Linked DNA regions of Saccharomyces cerevisiae S288C. Changing the gene in region 3 together with the main gene of any one other region gives a genetic interaction. Each region holds a gene or a part of one and is shown on either strand. Other genes may lie near its edges. The genes, in order: PUT2, AQY3, ESC2 and PWP1.

What was found.
Region 1: mutations in ESC2 (region 3) and PUT2 together harm fitness more than expected from each alone (negative genetic interaction), as found in Saccharomyces cerevisiae (one large-scale study listed by BioGRID).
Region 2: mutations in ESC2 (region 3) and AQY3 together harm fitness more than expected from each alone (negative genetic interaction), as found in Saccharomyces cerevisiae (one large-scale study listed by BioGRID).
Region 4: mutations in ESC2 (region 3) and PWP1 together harm fitness more than expected from each alone (negative genetic interaction), as found in Saccharomyces cerevisiae (one large-scale study listed by BioGRID).

Annotation. Positions count from the first base shown.
Region 1 is NC_001140.6:180,090-184,214, reverse strand, and holds PUT2 (1-pyrroline-5-carboxylate dehydrogenase), read right to left. Parts: upstream 2,239-4,125; coding exon 511-2,238; downstream 1-510. Other genes in the region: RRF1 (Rrf1p), read right to left, coding at 1-149; BRL1 (Brl1p), read right to left, coding at 2,455-3,870; GTPase-activating protein NEL1, read right to left, coding at 4,104-4,125.
Region 2 is NC_001138.5:20,290-24,377, reverse strand, and holds AQY3 (Aqy3p), read left to right. Parts: upstream 1-1,590; coding exon 1,591-3,531; downstream 3,532-4,088. Other genes in the region: DAK2 (dihydroxyacetone kinase), read right to left, coding at 1-955. UniProt on the Saccharomyces cerevisiae protein: Channel protein that mediates glycerol entry under ethanol stimulation. Does not seem to mediate glycerol uptake under standard conditions.
Region 3 is NC_001136.10:1,197,352-1,201,120, reverse strand, and holds ESC2 (Esc2p), read right to left. Parts: upstream 1,939-3,769; coding exon 568-1,938; downstream 1-567. Other genes in the region: transcription factor TFIIIC subunit TFC6, read left to right, coding at 2,424-3,769. UniProt on the Saccharomyces cerevisiae protein: May be a substrate targeting component of a cullin-RING-based E3 ubiquitin-protein ligase complex RTT101(MMS1-ESC2). Involved in HMR and telomere silencing via the recruitment or stabilizing of the SIR (silent information regulators) complex.
Region 4 is NC_001144.5:542,125-546,258, forward strand, and holds PWP1 (rRNA-processing protein PWP1), read left to right. Parts: upstream 1-1,843; coding exon 1,844-3,574; downstream 3,575-4,134. Other genes in the region: glycylpeptide N-tetradecanoyltransferase NMT1, read right to left, coding at 1-1,180; snoRNP complex protein NOP56, read left to right, coding at 3,973-4,134.

The DNA.
Region 1 (4,125 bases), on a different chromosome or scaffold from region 3:
TCATTCACGTCAATTTCATCTTCTTCGACTTTCTCAGTAGGGGTAGAACTTTTTTTCTTCAAAATTATGAAAGATTGACTAAAAGAACGATTAAATAGACGAGGAACGGTGACTGGTCTACAATTTAATCTAGCTGTGGTTAAAATCATTATTTCTTGCTGTTATTTTTCTTGTCAGGGACTGCTCGCCAAAGTTTCCATCTTTAAGCTTACGAATGGACGTATTTAATAAATTGATGTTCTGTTTCCGGACGGGTCCTTATGCCAAAAACAGAATGAATATGCGGCGAATAAATAGCAACGTGAATAAGTAAGTCATGACAGAATATAGAACGGGAATTTGGACGGTTGGTTCAATGAATATTTTTAAACTATTTACCTAGATAAATTAAAATTGTAAAACTAAAAAAACCTAATGAAGTAATCAAAACCCTTTTTTCGATAATCTAACATTTACATGAGTTGATGGATGAAGTGACTGCATTCGCGGTTCTATTCCACAAAAATTTTTTTATTCATAATTCGATGGATATTTGAAATCAGTCAACTCGTAGAAGTTCTCCTTTGTGTTTCTAATACTGACAAATCTGCTTAAAATGTTTGGACCACCAGCCTTATCGTCGGTACCACTCATTCTTGCGCCACCAAACCATTGCTGAGAAACAACGGCACCAGTACACTTATCATTTATGTAGAAATTTCCTGCGCTAAACTTCAACTTCTCATCTGCGTATTCAATTGCTTTACGATCTTTGGCAAAAATAGCACCAGTTAAGGCGTATTGACTCGTATTATCGATAATATCACAGATTTCATTAAATTCAGTATCTGGATACTCGTAAACAGTTAATATAGGGCCAAAAAATTCTGTTGACATATATGGATGATCTGGTCTCTTGGCTTTTATGACTGTGGGTCCGACAAACCAACCTTGGCTTTTATCGTATTGTCCACCGTAAAGAATTTCCAACTCGGGGTCTTTCTTTGCATCTTCAATTACTTTAACTAATTTGTCGAAACTTTGTTCATGGATGACAGGACCCATAAATCCCCGCAAATTCCCACCAGAAATTGGACTTGCGGATGTGTTCATTGGGACAACATTCTGTGACTGCAATATGCCAAACATATCGGATAAGAATTCTTCACTTTTTGACTCTGGAAGATATAACCTGGAAGCGGCAGAGCACTTTTGGCCTTGGAACTCGAAAGTGCCTCTAATAGTAGAGAGTACTGCATGTGATATATTTGCACTTGGGTGAACTAGATGGAAATTTTTACCACCTGTCTCACCAATAATACGGGGGTAATCTCTGTACTTCCCTTCAACAACGCCACTTTGTATTTTGCCATACAAACTCTTAAAGACATTTGTAGAACCGGTAAAATGCAAGGCACCAAAATCTTTATCAGCTAATACCTGGTCAGTAACTTGAACTGGATCACCTGGAATGAAATTTATGACACCCTTTGGCAATCCCGCTTCTTCCAAAACAGTCATCAATAAGTAATTTGAAAGGGCAGCGGTTTGTGAAGGTTTCCAGACAACTGTATTACCCATCAAAGCTGGAGCCCCAATCAAGTTTGCAGCAATAGCAGTAAAGTTGAATGGTGAAACAGCATACACAAATCCCTCTAAAGGTCTGTATTCAGCTTTATTCCAAGTACCATCCGCTGACTCTACGGGTTGTTGAGCATACAAGTCTGATGCATACTTGACATAGTATCTAAAAAAGTCAGATAATTCCGTGATACAGTCGATTTCTGCCTGATACACATTTTTTCCCTGGCCCAGCATTGTAGCAGCTAACATGTCATAACGATACTTGGTGGAAATTAAGTCAGCGGCTTTCAAAAAAATTGCAGATCTGTCATAAAACGGTAGATTGTACCAATCCTTTTTGGCATCCTTGGCGGCTTTTACAGCATTCATGACATCTTTTTCCGTGGCTTGTGTGACGTTTGCCAGTACTTGTTGATGGTTCGCAGGGTTAGTCTGCGGGAAAAGCGCTCTTTCATTATTGTCATATATCCTTTCCCCATTGATGACCAGTGGCACTTCTAAAGAAGAACTTTTGAATTTCATCAAGGAAGCCCTCAGTAAGTCCCAGTCTTTTAAGTCTATGTTTCTAAATGGCTTAACAGGTTCATTTCTTATGTGCTTGGGGGGCTTGATGTGTCCCAGTTGTGAGAAAGATCTCTTGAAGTATATAGATTTGAGGCACCTTGCTGATAGCATAATTCCTGTGAATTTGAATTGGCCTTCTATACAATATAGATTATATTAACTTGTTTGTATTATTACATATTTTCCATGGATATACTTCTGGAGTAAAGTCAGCTGTCCTGTCACCCTTATATAGTAGGCCTATCCAATTTTTGTCGGCTTCGGAGTTGGCTTCCCGAGATGTCCGATGGCGTAGATAAGCATTGTTACTGTCCCAGATAGCACAATCTATTGCTTAAGTAGGTGTGAGTCCTCTCCAGATGCTGTCATAGATGAGTGTGTTTCTTCTGATGTCGGCGATTTCGGTGAAGATGGCAAGGGATATGTTTTGATGCCATTGCCATAGTAGCTCTTGGCTCTTACAAAACCCAGTAAGAAATTCGAACTGAAACACCAAGTTATCACACCACAAAAAATAACAAATAGTGTTTTCCAGTTTAATGGATCTATGAATGAGTTGATAATGTCTCCGAACAATTTTGCGCTCAACGTTGATCTTGCACGGAAAAAGATATCGTTATTTCTGTCCATACACTGTTTCCATATAGCACATTGTTCGCCCAGAGCCGGCAAGCCAGGCGTCTGGTTACAACGATTTGTGAGGTACTGCTCTTGACAAATTCTGGATTCGTACTGCAGTTCATGTTTTCTTTGTTCCCATGTGGATTTCAAGTCCTTTTGAAGCGCTATGATAAATGAGAGTATAAAACTAAAAATCACTACTGTAGTGATCGCATTGAGAAATAACTGTAAATATGACATTAGGGCATATGACGCTCTTGATGCCGGATGTGAATTGGGTGACCATGGTTTAGGCAACTTGAAAGCTTCATTTTGGTCGTAAAATTCATCTATTTTATTGTGATTTGGTTTAGTAAGAGAATAAGTTTTAATGCCGTCCTTATCTGAATAGAAGTAGTTGTGTGTATTGAATGAAACCTGAATTGGTTGATATTTTGATCTTGATCTTAATTCCCTCTTGATTATTTCCGAATCGAACGCATTTGCGTACTGGCTTGACTTGTGGTTGCCAAGTGATGATTTGATCTCATCTTCGACTTCTTCATTTCTGATTATGTCTTCACCCTCTGCGTTGTTATTCGAACTTTCATTGTCATCTTGATTGGCCGATGGTGGTAATGGCACAACACCTTCAACTTTAGTAGCTGCGGCCACACCTAAATCGGTCGGTGATAATAATGCCTTTATGACAGTTGAACGATGCGGTGAAACAATGTTCTCGACCTCTTCTACACTTTGGTCTTGGCTTTCATTCTTCTCTTGCTTTTGTCTTTCTTCTGGGGTAGCCTCGATTTCTTCCACCACGGCATTCTCAGTCGCTTCAGTATGAGTTTCGATTGGCTCGTTATTATATTCTTCTTCAAAACTTGTATCATCAACCTCATCTATTTCCATTCGGTCATCTTCTTCCTCATCAGCTTTAGCAGCACTAAAATCCAATGTATTTCGCAGAGGTGATGGGCTCGAGGGAAAATGGGGCATAAATCGGTTGATAAGCTGTGGTGACAAAGTTGGCCCCTGCTTAGATATACTTAGGTCGGAGAGGCCTCCTAACTCCTCGTCAACGTGTTCCATTCCGCTAGTGAAACTGTCTCTTATGCTCAAATTTTCAAAACTTTCCATATGGAAGATCCTATATAACGTTATAATACAACTACTCAATAAGCAAGTATTGCGATAAACAAGCGACTATTTGATGAGATGCTATACCTTTGATGAAATTAAGGGCCCAACTTGCTTTTGTATCTTCTATTGTCTTAGGGAATTTTGCTCTATTTCATCTAAAGTTTTTTTTTCTTTACTTTTTGTTTTCGCCAATACAGGCGTCGCAAAGTGCAGCAAGAATATTTAGCGAGTTATTTGCTTCCACTTAGATCG
Region 2 (4,088 bases), on a different chromosome or scaffold from region 3:
TACCAAACCCAGGACCATTCAATGCAGTAATGAATGCTCCAGTAATCGTTCTCTTGGGCACAATTTGATACTTATCAATCAATTGTTCAGAAATGACCTCTGCAGCATAACCCAATTCTAGATTAGACATACCACCCATGTTGTTAACCATAAGAACTACGTCCTCTTTGGGCTCAAACTTCACATAAGAACGGTCTTCATCCTCATCGAGAAGAAGAGGAAGCATCTGGGAAACGAGCTCAGAAATCGATGGCAGCGGAGAAGACTTATAGGTACCAGACTCGTTATGAATACCCATACCGATTTCATACTCATTCTCGCCCAAAATGGCTTCAGGTTTGTGGCCAGGAACCGTGCAGTGATCAAGAGATGCCGCAATTGTGACACTATTGTCAACTACTGACTGAGCAACTTCGGCAACTTCTGCCAACTCCAGTCCATGAGAAGCGGCTGCCCCAGCAATTTTATGCACCAATACGGTGGCTCCGAGACCTCGACGCCCGACTAAAGAACCTTTCTTCTTACCGACAGAGACATCATCTCCTACAGCAACCAGTTCGACTTTCATTCCAGCAGCTTTAGCTCTTTCAGCAGCGAGACCAAAATGTATAATATCACCGGTGTAATTTTTTACAATGATCAAGGTACCCTTAGGAGATTCAACAGCTTTAATAGCAGAATAGATCTGTTTAGTTGAAGGAGAAGCAAAAATGGCACCTGCTGCAATCGCATCTAAGGCACCTTCACCAACAAAACCGGCATGCGTTGGCTCATGACCACTGCCACCTCCAGAAACCAATGAAACTTTAGGAGGGTTCCCTGAATTAGGAGCTGACGCAGTCCGGAAAACCACTCTGTCGTGCTTAATCACTGTAAGGCCGGGATTGCTTCGAGCAAGGCCAAGTAGGTAGGGAGTAACGATGTTTCCATCTGATTTGAATTGTTTGTGAGACATGATTATTTAGTCAATTGTAGTTGGGTTTTGTCAGATTTTGAGGTAAAATACACTTTACAGACAATACTAGAAAAAAAAAGGGCTGATCTGGGTTCATTTATATATATTTAATGATCCAAAGTTTGAAAATTCAATCACACATTGCGGTATTTTCCCCTTCTCGTATTGTTGAGATCCTTATACAATATCAAGTACTTAATTATCCAACTATGGTGACGTAAGAATTTACTTGGCTCAATATCTCCCTATTTGGTACTACGATACGATTTCATGAAATTATGAGTTAAATAATTTAGAATCTAGTTATGGCCTGGCGGGAATTGTTTCTGTGCAGGGATTTACTCACAATCACCCTCTGCGGGAATAATATGCATAGGTTGTGATTAATTTTTTAAATTAAGTTCCATCAGAAGGCCTAGTTTTCTCCGTTGATAACTCCGCTCCGGAATATCATAATTTTCCGGTACCCCACTTACCCCGGAAATTTGAGTTATAAACGTTGTTTGAGCTTTACCTAGTCTTGGTCGATCAAAAGTTCTGGTACCTTTTCACCATGTCTCCCCCTTATTCATATAAAAAGAAGCGTATAATCGCACAGTATAACGCTCCTCTGATATATGATCTAGACCCAAGTAATGAGTTACGAATCTGGGAGGTCATCCTCCTCTTCCGAGAGTACACGGCCACCAACGCTAAAAGAAGAACCTAATGGTAAAATAGCTTGGGAAGAAAGTGTCAAAAAATCTAGGGAAAATAACGAAAATGACAGCACTCTCTTGAGGCGAAAGCTAGGTGAGACTCGAAAAGCAATTGAAACTGGAGGATCATCGAGAAATAAACTTTCTGCTTTGACACCCTTGAAAAAAGTGGTTGACGAGAGGAAGGATTCGGTACAACCACAGGTCCCTTCCATGGGTTTTACTTATTCTTTGCCTAATTTGAAGACTTTAAACAGTTTTTCAGATGCTGAGCAAGCACGTATAATGCAAGATTATCTATCCAGGGGGGTAAATCAAGGCAACAGTAATAATTATGTAGACCCACTATATCGGCAATTAAATCCAACTATGGGTAGTAGCAGGAACAGGCCTGTTTGGAGTTTAAATCAGCCGTTACCGCATGTATTGGATCGAGGCTTGGCAGCAAAGATGATACAAAAGAATATGGATGCAAGGTCCCGCGCATCATCGAGACGAGGGTCGACCGATATTTCAAGGGGGGGTTCTACTACGTCAGTGAAAGACTGGAAAAGGCTCCTTAGAGGTGCAGCACCGGGTAAAAAGCTTGGTGACATCGAAGCTCAAACGCAACGCGATAATACTGTTGGTGCAGATGTGAAACCTACTAAGTTAGAGCCTGAAAACCCACAAAAGCCCTCTAACACGCATATTGAGAATGTTTCACGTAAGAAAAAGCGTACTTCGCATAATGTCAATTTTTCATTAGGCGATGAAAGCTACGCATCCTCCATAGCCGATGCAGAATCCAGAAAATTAAAGAACATGCAAACCCTCGATGGTTCTACTCCGGTTTATACGAAGCTTCCTGAAGAACTTATTGAAGAGGAAAATAAAAGTACGAGTGCATTAGATGGTAATGAAATTGGTGCCTCAGAAGATGAAGACGCGGATATAATGACATTTCCTAACTTTTGGGCAAAAATTCGCTATCATATGCGAGAACCGTTTGCGGAGTTTCTCGGGACACTAGTTCTTGTCATTTTTGGTGTTGGTGGTAATCTTCAAGCAACTGTAACAAAAGGTAGTGGTGGTTCCTATGAATCCCTATCATTTGCATGGGGGTTCGGTTGTATGCTTGGTGTTTACGTCGCAGGCGGTATTAGTGGTGGTCATATTAACCCTGCTGTTACGATTTCAATGGCAATTTTTCGAAAATTCCCCTGGAAAAAGGTGCCCGTATATATTGTTGCTCAGATTATCGGTGCATATTTTGGAGGAGCTATGGCTTATGGTTATTTTTGGAGCTCTATCACAGAATTTGAGGGAGGTCCGCACATAAGAACAACGGCGACCGGTGCGTGTTTGTTTACTGATCCAAAGTCTTACGTCACGTGGAGAAATGCCTTCTTTGACGAATTCATAGGAGCCTCTATACTTGTGGGTTGTTTGATGGCGCTATTGGATGATAGTAATGCTCCACCTGGCAATGGTATGACCGCATTAATTATTGGATTCTTAGTCGCTGCAATTGGTATGGCCCTTGGATATCAAACAAGTTTCACAATCAATCCTGCAAGAGATCTCGGTCCTCGCATATTTGCTTCCATGATTGGCTATGGTCCACATGCTTTTCATCTCACACATTGGTGGTGGACATGGGGAGCCTGGGGTGGTCCAATTGCCGGCGGTATTGCTGGAGCACTCATATATGACATTTTCATTTTTACTGGATGCGAATCCCCAGTCAACTACCCAGACAACGGTTATATTGAGAATAGGGTAGGTAAACTTTTACATGCGGAGTTCCACCAGAATGATGGCACTGTCTCAGATGAATCTGGTGTTAACAGCAACAGCAACACTGGCAGCAAGAAATCTGTGCCTACTTCGTCATAATTAATATTTTCAATTTTTTACGATTTATAACCTAATTATTAATTTCACGAACTTATTATTTGACGACATACTACATCCGGGAGCCGTGACTTTGTTACCATCTCTTACTTGTGCTCTAAATTCTATCGTTTTGTTTTTGTAATAAAGAATGAGACTGCCTGCGGCTTAATTGTCTTTTTATTGTAGGCAAGAACAAAATTCGACTAATACGTAAAATTAAATGTCAAACCAGGAGTCTCACATTATGTTATTAATAAAAATAATAAAATTTTCAGCTCGTTGACGATAGGAAAATTCCTGGCACCATCAACTAGGTAATCCCACTGAAGATGTGTTTTATATGAATATGTGCTATATTTACTAATAATAAAGAGCAAGTTGCCAAATAAACTAATTGTGCTCAAAGAAAATTATTGTCATTATCATATATTTTCTCATATGCAATTTCAATCAATTTTAGACAAGTGATTATATATATGTAAACGGTTGTTTTTTGATGTTACGTTCTGTATGATTGACCAATGCTATTTTTCTCATGCGATATAAATTGGAGAAGT
Region 3 (3,769 bases):
TGATGCAGTTACACTACCAATTCTTGCCCTTCAAATCACCTTAAAGGATGATGGCTTGAATTTTATTTTCTGCTGATCTCGTAATTTATACAACCTTTTAGCGTTGATATCATAATATTATGATGAAACGAATTATTTTAATTGACTGCTGTAGCAACAATAGAGAAGTAGTTTACCTCTTGTTCCAAGAAAACTATAGCCGAGGAAATATCAAATTGTTTTGATAGTTGTTCTACGTTAGATGTACTATTCAAACCTAGCACGAAAAAGCTGAAGAGATTTTTGTATTCATTAGGCGATCAAATTTTTATAGAAAAGCGTTAACATGTTGAGTTAGAGATGGAAAAATTCCTTTATAATATTTCACGGAAGGTAGAAGAGGGTCAGCACCTACTTTTTGAACAGAGAATTACCCGAGTATGATTTAAACACAAAAGGTCTTATTCAATTATATTCAGAAAATATTTTACAAGTACCGCAAGCACCACCAACACACCCGCCGCCCATAGTAAATAATAATTGTGGCACGTAAAGAGCCGGAGTTCGGCCTTTTTTAGCAAATTGCGCTCAATCAATAATGACATCAACCATGTCTTCATCTTCCATATCCTGATCGGCTATACACTCATTCATGTCCAATTCATCATGATCAAAAAGTAATTTAACCCTCGTCTTTTGTGGTAACTGTTTCTGGATTCTGTAATATTCGGCAATTTTAGAAAATGGTGTTGAACGCCTAACATGGACATAGATTTTTTTGTTATCTTGACCCATGAGAGCGATTCTCATAACTTCTTCCATGCTACTACTATTTCCTGACAAAGAGCCACCCTCTTGCAGAAGTTTTGTATTCATAACTGTATCATTTTCTTTTATTTCTTGTGTTTCTTCTACGTTTTTTAATTCGGATTCAAACTCGCGATATTCGGACTCTTCTTGTTCATTTCTCTTTTTCTCTAACTTCCTTTCCATCTCCTGACGTTCTTTTATGAGTAAAGCAGCTTCTTCTTCCTTTAACTTTGATTCCAGTGTCGCTTCAAAGTTCTTTTCGTATTCTTTGGATACGATAGTAACATCGATATCAGAGACTTCATTTTCAAAATCCTGTGGGATATGTAGCGAATTACAAGTCATAAAAGTGAGTAATTTTGCATTGTTCCAATAAAGAGTAACATTCTCTACCTTGTATATATCTTTCATTACCTTCGGAATTTTATAGGACTTCATCAATCCGTCCAAAGCAGCAGGAAGTATTTTTGAAAATTCGTATTTTCCGAGGACCTTCACTTGGACCGCTTTATTTATAGTTCCTTCTAGCTTAGAGAGAAATTTGATGTTATAAACTCGCTTCCGCTGGTCGGGTGTCGATTCTTTAGAAATAGTGGTGCTTTTTTTGGCTTCTTTAGCAAGTTCCTTGAAAAAGTCATCGTTTTCATCATAGGTATACAGTAATGAACTTTTCTGTCGCTTGTATTTTCCCGCTGGAGATATTGATCTTATGCTTGACCTGGACCTTGACCTAGATCTGGGAAAATTTTTGTCTTCGTCTAAGTCAGATTCAGATGAGTTTATTTCAACTACAGACTCTTTCATCACAGATCTTCCTCTAGTTCGACCCGATGGTTTGTCTGGCTTGGGCTCCGTAATATCTTCTATATTTACATTTTTACTAGATGATCTGCTCAGGGACTGATGTTGTTCCTTTGCGTCGCTATCTTCACTATCAGATAATGTTAGAGTTGAATGCTTTGATGGCGGTACCGTGACTTTAGAGTCAACTATGACACTTTGCCTATTACTTTCATCGCTATGATCGATTTCATCTATATCATAGGAATTGTCCATAAAGAAGTCATCGCTGTTTTCATCAGAAAAACTTGTATTATCTGGATCTAGATTAATTGAGGGTTCGCTGATGCTTCTGGAATCACCGGTCATCTGTTAACAGCCTAAAACAAATGATTTTTTCTCTTGCCTTTTATTGTTCAGGGCTATAATCCGTGTTCGCAATCACTTTAAAATGAATTCTGAAGTAATAATGAAAAGTTGTTCTATTTCAATTGCGATATACGCTGTCAAAGTGATATATGGTATTGGGAATTCATAGGCATGCTGGTCCCTCCTCTGCCTGTCATTTCTTTTCTTATATGCTACAATAAAATTTGCTGTCTTCTGTAAGGAAATAGAAGGGATTCAGTATCACCCGGAAAGCTGCGGTTCGAAAACCCTACGTTGCAAAAGAAGATAAACAACATTCCATTTTTTGTTCGAGAAAGCCTGGATGAGTTGTTAAAGCTTTGATTTCTACTCAGTAAGAGCAGTTTCATGTCCTAAAAACTAAAGCTAGTACTCTTTGATCCATTAGCGAAATTTCTCTAACTTGCTCCATTGCGATACGTGTAATAATATATTAAGTTGTGGCGATGGCAGTAATACCGGCAAAGAAAAGAGGAAGACCTAGAAAATCTGTGGTAGCAGAAGTTCCCTATGATAGCTTGGCAAGCCCAGTATCTGAAAACTCAGGCAGTAAAAGGCCGAGGAGAAACGCATCTAAGAAAGCAGTTGCAAATTTCGCACAATTAGTGCATGCTGGTCGCGATGATGTGATAAATACTACACAAGTCAATAATGTTGATGACACCGACGATGATGATTTTGTATTGAATGATGAAGGTGATGGTGAGGAAAGTGACAATGTTGAGATAGAATTTGAGAATGAGTTAGAGTCTACTAAAAATGAGGTGGCGGATTTAAACAGTAGTGGAAGTGGAGCTTCTGTTAGACCCAGTGGAAGAAGAAATACTGTACAGAAACTTCGTTTGAAGAAGAATTCGACTAAAAATATGAAGAGCAGCTCCCCAGGGTCAAGTCTAGGACAGAAGGGCCGTCCCATCAGGCTCCTAAAAGATCTTTCGAGTGCAAGAGACAAGATTGAAAGAATTTATGGACTGAATAAGGAAAAGTTATTGTTGCTAGCAAAAGTTAAGGAAGGCTTTGAAACTAGCGTTTTCGATTTCCCATTCAAGAATATTCAGCCTGATTCTCCATATTTTGTATGCTTAGATCCACCGTGTAAAAAGGAAAGTGCATATAATAAAGTCATAGGGGATAAAAACAGAACCGTATATCATGAAATTAATAAGACTGAATTTGAGAATATGATCAAATTGAGAACGAAGAGATTGAAGTTACTTATCGGGGAAGTTGATGCAGAGGTATCCACTGGCGATAAAATAGAGTTTCCGGTGCTTGCTAACGGCAAAAGGCGCGGCTTTATTTACAACGTAGGAGGATTGGTAACAGATATTGCATGGCTTAATATAGAGGAAAATACTGATATAGGCAAGGATATACAATATTTAGCCGTCGCGGTATCACAGTACATGGATGAGCCTTTGAACGAGCATTTAGAAATGTTTGACAAGGAGAAGCACTCCTCCTGTATACAAATTTTCAAAATGAATACTTCTACTCTACATTGCGTAAAAGTTCAAACCATTGTACACTCATTTGGTGAAGTGTGGGATCTTAAATGGCACGAAGGATGTCACGCACCTCATCTGGTTGGCTGTTTATCATTCGTAAGCCAGGAAGGGACAATAAATTTTTTGGAAATTATTGATAATGCAACCGATGTTCACGTGTTTAAGATGTGTGAGAAGCCTTCTTTGACTTTATCCCTGGCAGACAGTTTGATAACTACTTTTGATTTTTTATCTCCTACTACTGTTGTTTGTGGCTTTAAGAACGGATTTGTAGCAGAGTTTGA
Region 4 (4,134 bases), on a different chromosome or scaffold from region 3:
CCATATTAGCGTTTTTGGCCAAAATACAAGCGTCATAAATCAATTCACACAATCTTGTTTTCAAAGCCTTAGTAGCTTTTGGATCAAACCTGTCTTTGAATTGGAAATCTGCATCGGTGGCATAATAATACAAGTACCCGATGCCTAGGTCCTTATATTTTGTGTTATTTAGGATTGTGAATGGCAATGAGTAAAATGAGAAGAAGTCTGTAATTTTTCCATCGGGCTGTTCGACTACATATGAGAAAATTACTTGTTTATCCAATGGTAACGATTCTTCACCAATGAAATTATGTTCGAATTCTTCTTTTGTGAAAATTTGAATTAGTTCGAACCTGGATTGATATCTTTTGAACAACTCAAAAACTTGGTCAATATCTTCCTTCTTTAATTTTCTCAATCCCGCTGTCTTTGTTTTGGCCGGTAACGCATTCTCAGCAATCATATCCTCCTCTGTGTGCCCATCTGGTAACCCTGTGAAATCTACTTCATAAAGTTTCTTCCAATTCAAGGGACGATGAGTATAACGACACGTACTCACAGGTGCTGGCAAAACAATACCTGCCGTGTACAATGCATGCCAGATGTCACATTTGTTCACTCGTCTCGTAATTTCTTTAATTAGAACAGGTGTTAATCTCTTCGATCTTAGCTGTTTGTGAACGCACAAGAAATTGATTTCTACACTAGGCACTTGTTTACCTCTAACACCAAGTGTTACTGGTATGGCTGAGATAAAGGCAACTAATTTCTGTGTTTCTTTAACGCGAACACCAATATGCCAATCCTTCTTCCAACCTGGACTCTTTAAAGCCCAATTGAAGAATTCTTTGGTATAGTTAAATCTGAAGCCTGCATCGCGGTCTTCCACGTAGTTTTCATTTAGTAGAACGAAAACATCTTCAAGCTGTTTTTTGTTGTCCACATCAATACTACACCATTCGAAGCTAGACAATAAAGGTAGTGGCTTGTCAGATATATCTTCCGGTGTCTTTGGCTTATCAATGGGGCCTTCTTCCACCACCTTTTCATCGAAATCTTTGACCGGTTGCGTTCTCCAGAATTTGTGGTCTTTCATAGCTTTTTTCTGTTCTTGAGTGAATTTTGAAGTATCGTCATTATTCAACTGTAATAACTTCAATAAATTCTCTAATTTTTTCGCTTTATCCTCTTCTGACATTCTATAAATACGTTTACTACCGAAGCTCTATGACAACCAGAGCTATTGTACAGATCATTCTCTAAAAAGCGTGCAACACATATCATCTTCAATTATAGTGAATTACTTTTATCATGAGCAACGGCTGAAATTATTTTATCCTATTGTTTTATGACAGTATCCTTTCAAAAGAGTCGAAAGGATCCTCTGTTGCAAGAACTACTATTACGTAATTATACATAGTCCGCCTGCAATTTCTAGTGAGACTTTGCTTTGCTTTCCACTTTGCGATTAATATTGAGAATTTTAAACGTTAACTGAATTCTTACCCACCCATAATAAGAACTCTAACTGGCGAATTTATCATGAAACAAATCTGCAAGAATAAAAAATTAGAGAATCGTGCAATTCAATTTAATTGCCTTGTCCGTTGTAAAACTTTTCCATAGGCCCTACCTTGAGTTGATCATATGTATTATTCTATATATATTATATCCAGTCGGGTAATAAATTTTCTCGCCCTCGAAAAAAAGAAGTGAAAAATTTGTCTCGATGAGCTGAGATGAGTTTGAAAGAAGCAAAGAGTTTTAATTTGTAAACGATAGCAAGTGTACCCTCAGTTGAGTCTATTACGCCTTCCTTATTTGGAAACTTAGAAGACGAATAAAAAAAACAAAATAACTAATGATTTCTGCTACTAATTGGGTTCCAAGAGGGTTTTCCTCGGAATTTCCTGAAAAGTATGTTCTGGATGATGAGGAAGTGGAAAGAATTAACCAATTAGCACAGTTGAATTTGGATGATGCTAAAGCTACTTTGGAAGAAGCAGAAGGCGAATCAGGTGTTGAAGATGACGCCGCAACAGGTAGTTCTAATAAGTTGAAGGATCAGTTGGATATAGATGATGATTTGAAAGAATATAACCTGGAAGAATATGACGATGAGGAAATTGCAGATAATGAGGGTGGTAAAGACGTTTCCATGTTCCCGGGTTTAAGTAATGATAGCGATGTTAAATTCCATGAGGGTGAAAAAGGTGAAGATCCATATATTTCATTGCCTAATCAAGAGGATAGTCAAGAGGAGAAGCAGGAGTTACAAGTTTACCCATCCGATAATTTAGTTCTTGCTGCGAGAACAGAAGATGACGTTTCGTATTTGGATATCTACGTTTACGATGACGGTGCTGGGTTCCACAGTAGCGATATTCCCGTTGAAGAAGGTGATGAAGCTGACCCAGATGTTGCTCGTGGATTGGTTCGTGACCCTGCACTTTACGTTCACCATGATTTAATGTTGCCTGCTTTTCCACTATGTGTTGAGTGGCTTGACTACAAGGTTGGATCCAATTCCGAAGAAGCAGCCAATTATGCTGCCATTGGTACGTTTGATCCACAAATTGAAATTTGGAACTTGGACTGTGTTGACAAGGCCTTTCCCGATATGATTCTGGGTGAACCTCTTGATAATTCAATGGTGTCTTTGAAAAGCAAAAAGAAGAAGAAGAAGTCTAAGACTGGACACATTACTACTCATCATACCGATGCTGTTTTATCCATGGCACACAACAAATATTTCCGTTCCGTTTTAGCATCCACCTCTGCAGATCATACCGTAAAACTATGGGATTTGAACTCAGGTAACGCAGCCCGCTCCTTAGCTTCCATTCATTCAAACAAAAATGTTTCATCATCTGAATGGCACATGTTGAATGGTTCCATTCTTTTGACCGGTGGTTATGATTCTCGAGTAGCTTTAACAGATGTTAGAATTTCTGACGAAAGTCAAATGAGTAAATACTGGTCTGCCATGGCAGGTGAGGAAATAGAAACTGTTACATTTGCCAGTGAAAATATAATATTATGTGGTACTGATTCTGGTAATGTGTATTCTTTCGATATTAGAAACAATGAAAACCGTAAACCAGTTTGGACATTGAAGGCACACGATGCTGGTATCTCCACATTATGTTCAAACAAATTCATCCCTGGTATGATGAGTACAGGGGCCATGGGTGAAAAGACTGTCAAATTATGGAAATTCCCCTTGGATGATGCTACGAACACTAAGGGCCCAAGCATGGTTCTGTCTCGTGATTTCGATGTCGGAAATGTATTGACATCGTCATTCGCTCCAGACATCGAGGTAGCGGGTACCATGGTCATTGGTGGTGTCAATAAAGTTTTGAAACTATGGGACGTTTTTACCAATAGATCTGTACGTAAGAGCTTTAAAAGTGAACTAGAGAATGTTCAAGCAAGAGCAAAAGAAGAAGCCCAAAAAATAGGAAAAAGTTCAAGAATCGCCAGAAAATACACCAGTAACGATAACCCAGATACTGTTATAACCATTGATGATCAAGGTGAAGATGAAGAAGAAAGAGAAGGTGGAGATGAGCATGATGACATGGCATAATCTGGATATGAAAAATATTAAAGCAGAGTACATTGCAAGTACAAATAAAAAATCTATAGAAGATAATACTGTATACTAGTGTAAGAGGAGCCTCAGAAAAAAACAATATAATACATTAATATGTGCTGTTACGGTATAATTTAGCATATGATGACAATGTGGTGAATTACAGTTGTGTAACTTTTTTATATCACCCGGCATATATACGCTCGTAGAATGCGATGTGAAAATTTTCTTTTTTTTTTTTTTTCAAAGTGAAATTTTTTTGAGTGATGAGATGGGAAATGAAAAATTTTGTGCAATTGCGTAGTGTCTACAGTTTTTTAAGTAGTTATTAAAAGTGTTTTGGAAGGTATATTTCTAGGAGAAGAAGCGTGCAGAACAGTATTTAGTGAAAGATGGCTCCTATTGAATACCTACTGTTTGAAGAACCTACTGGTTACGCAGTTTTCAAGGTTAAGTTGCAACAAGATGACATTGGTTCAAGATTAAAAGAAGTTCAAGAGCAAATCAATGATTTTGGTGCTTTTACAAAGTTAATCGAACTTGTATCTTTCGCG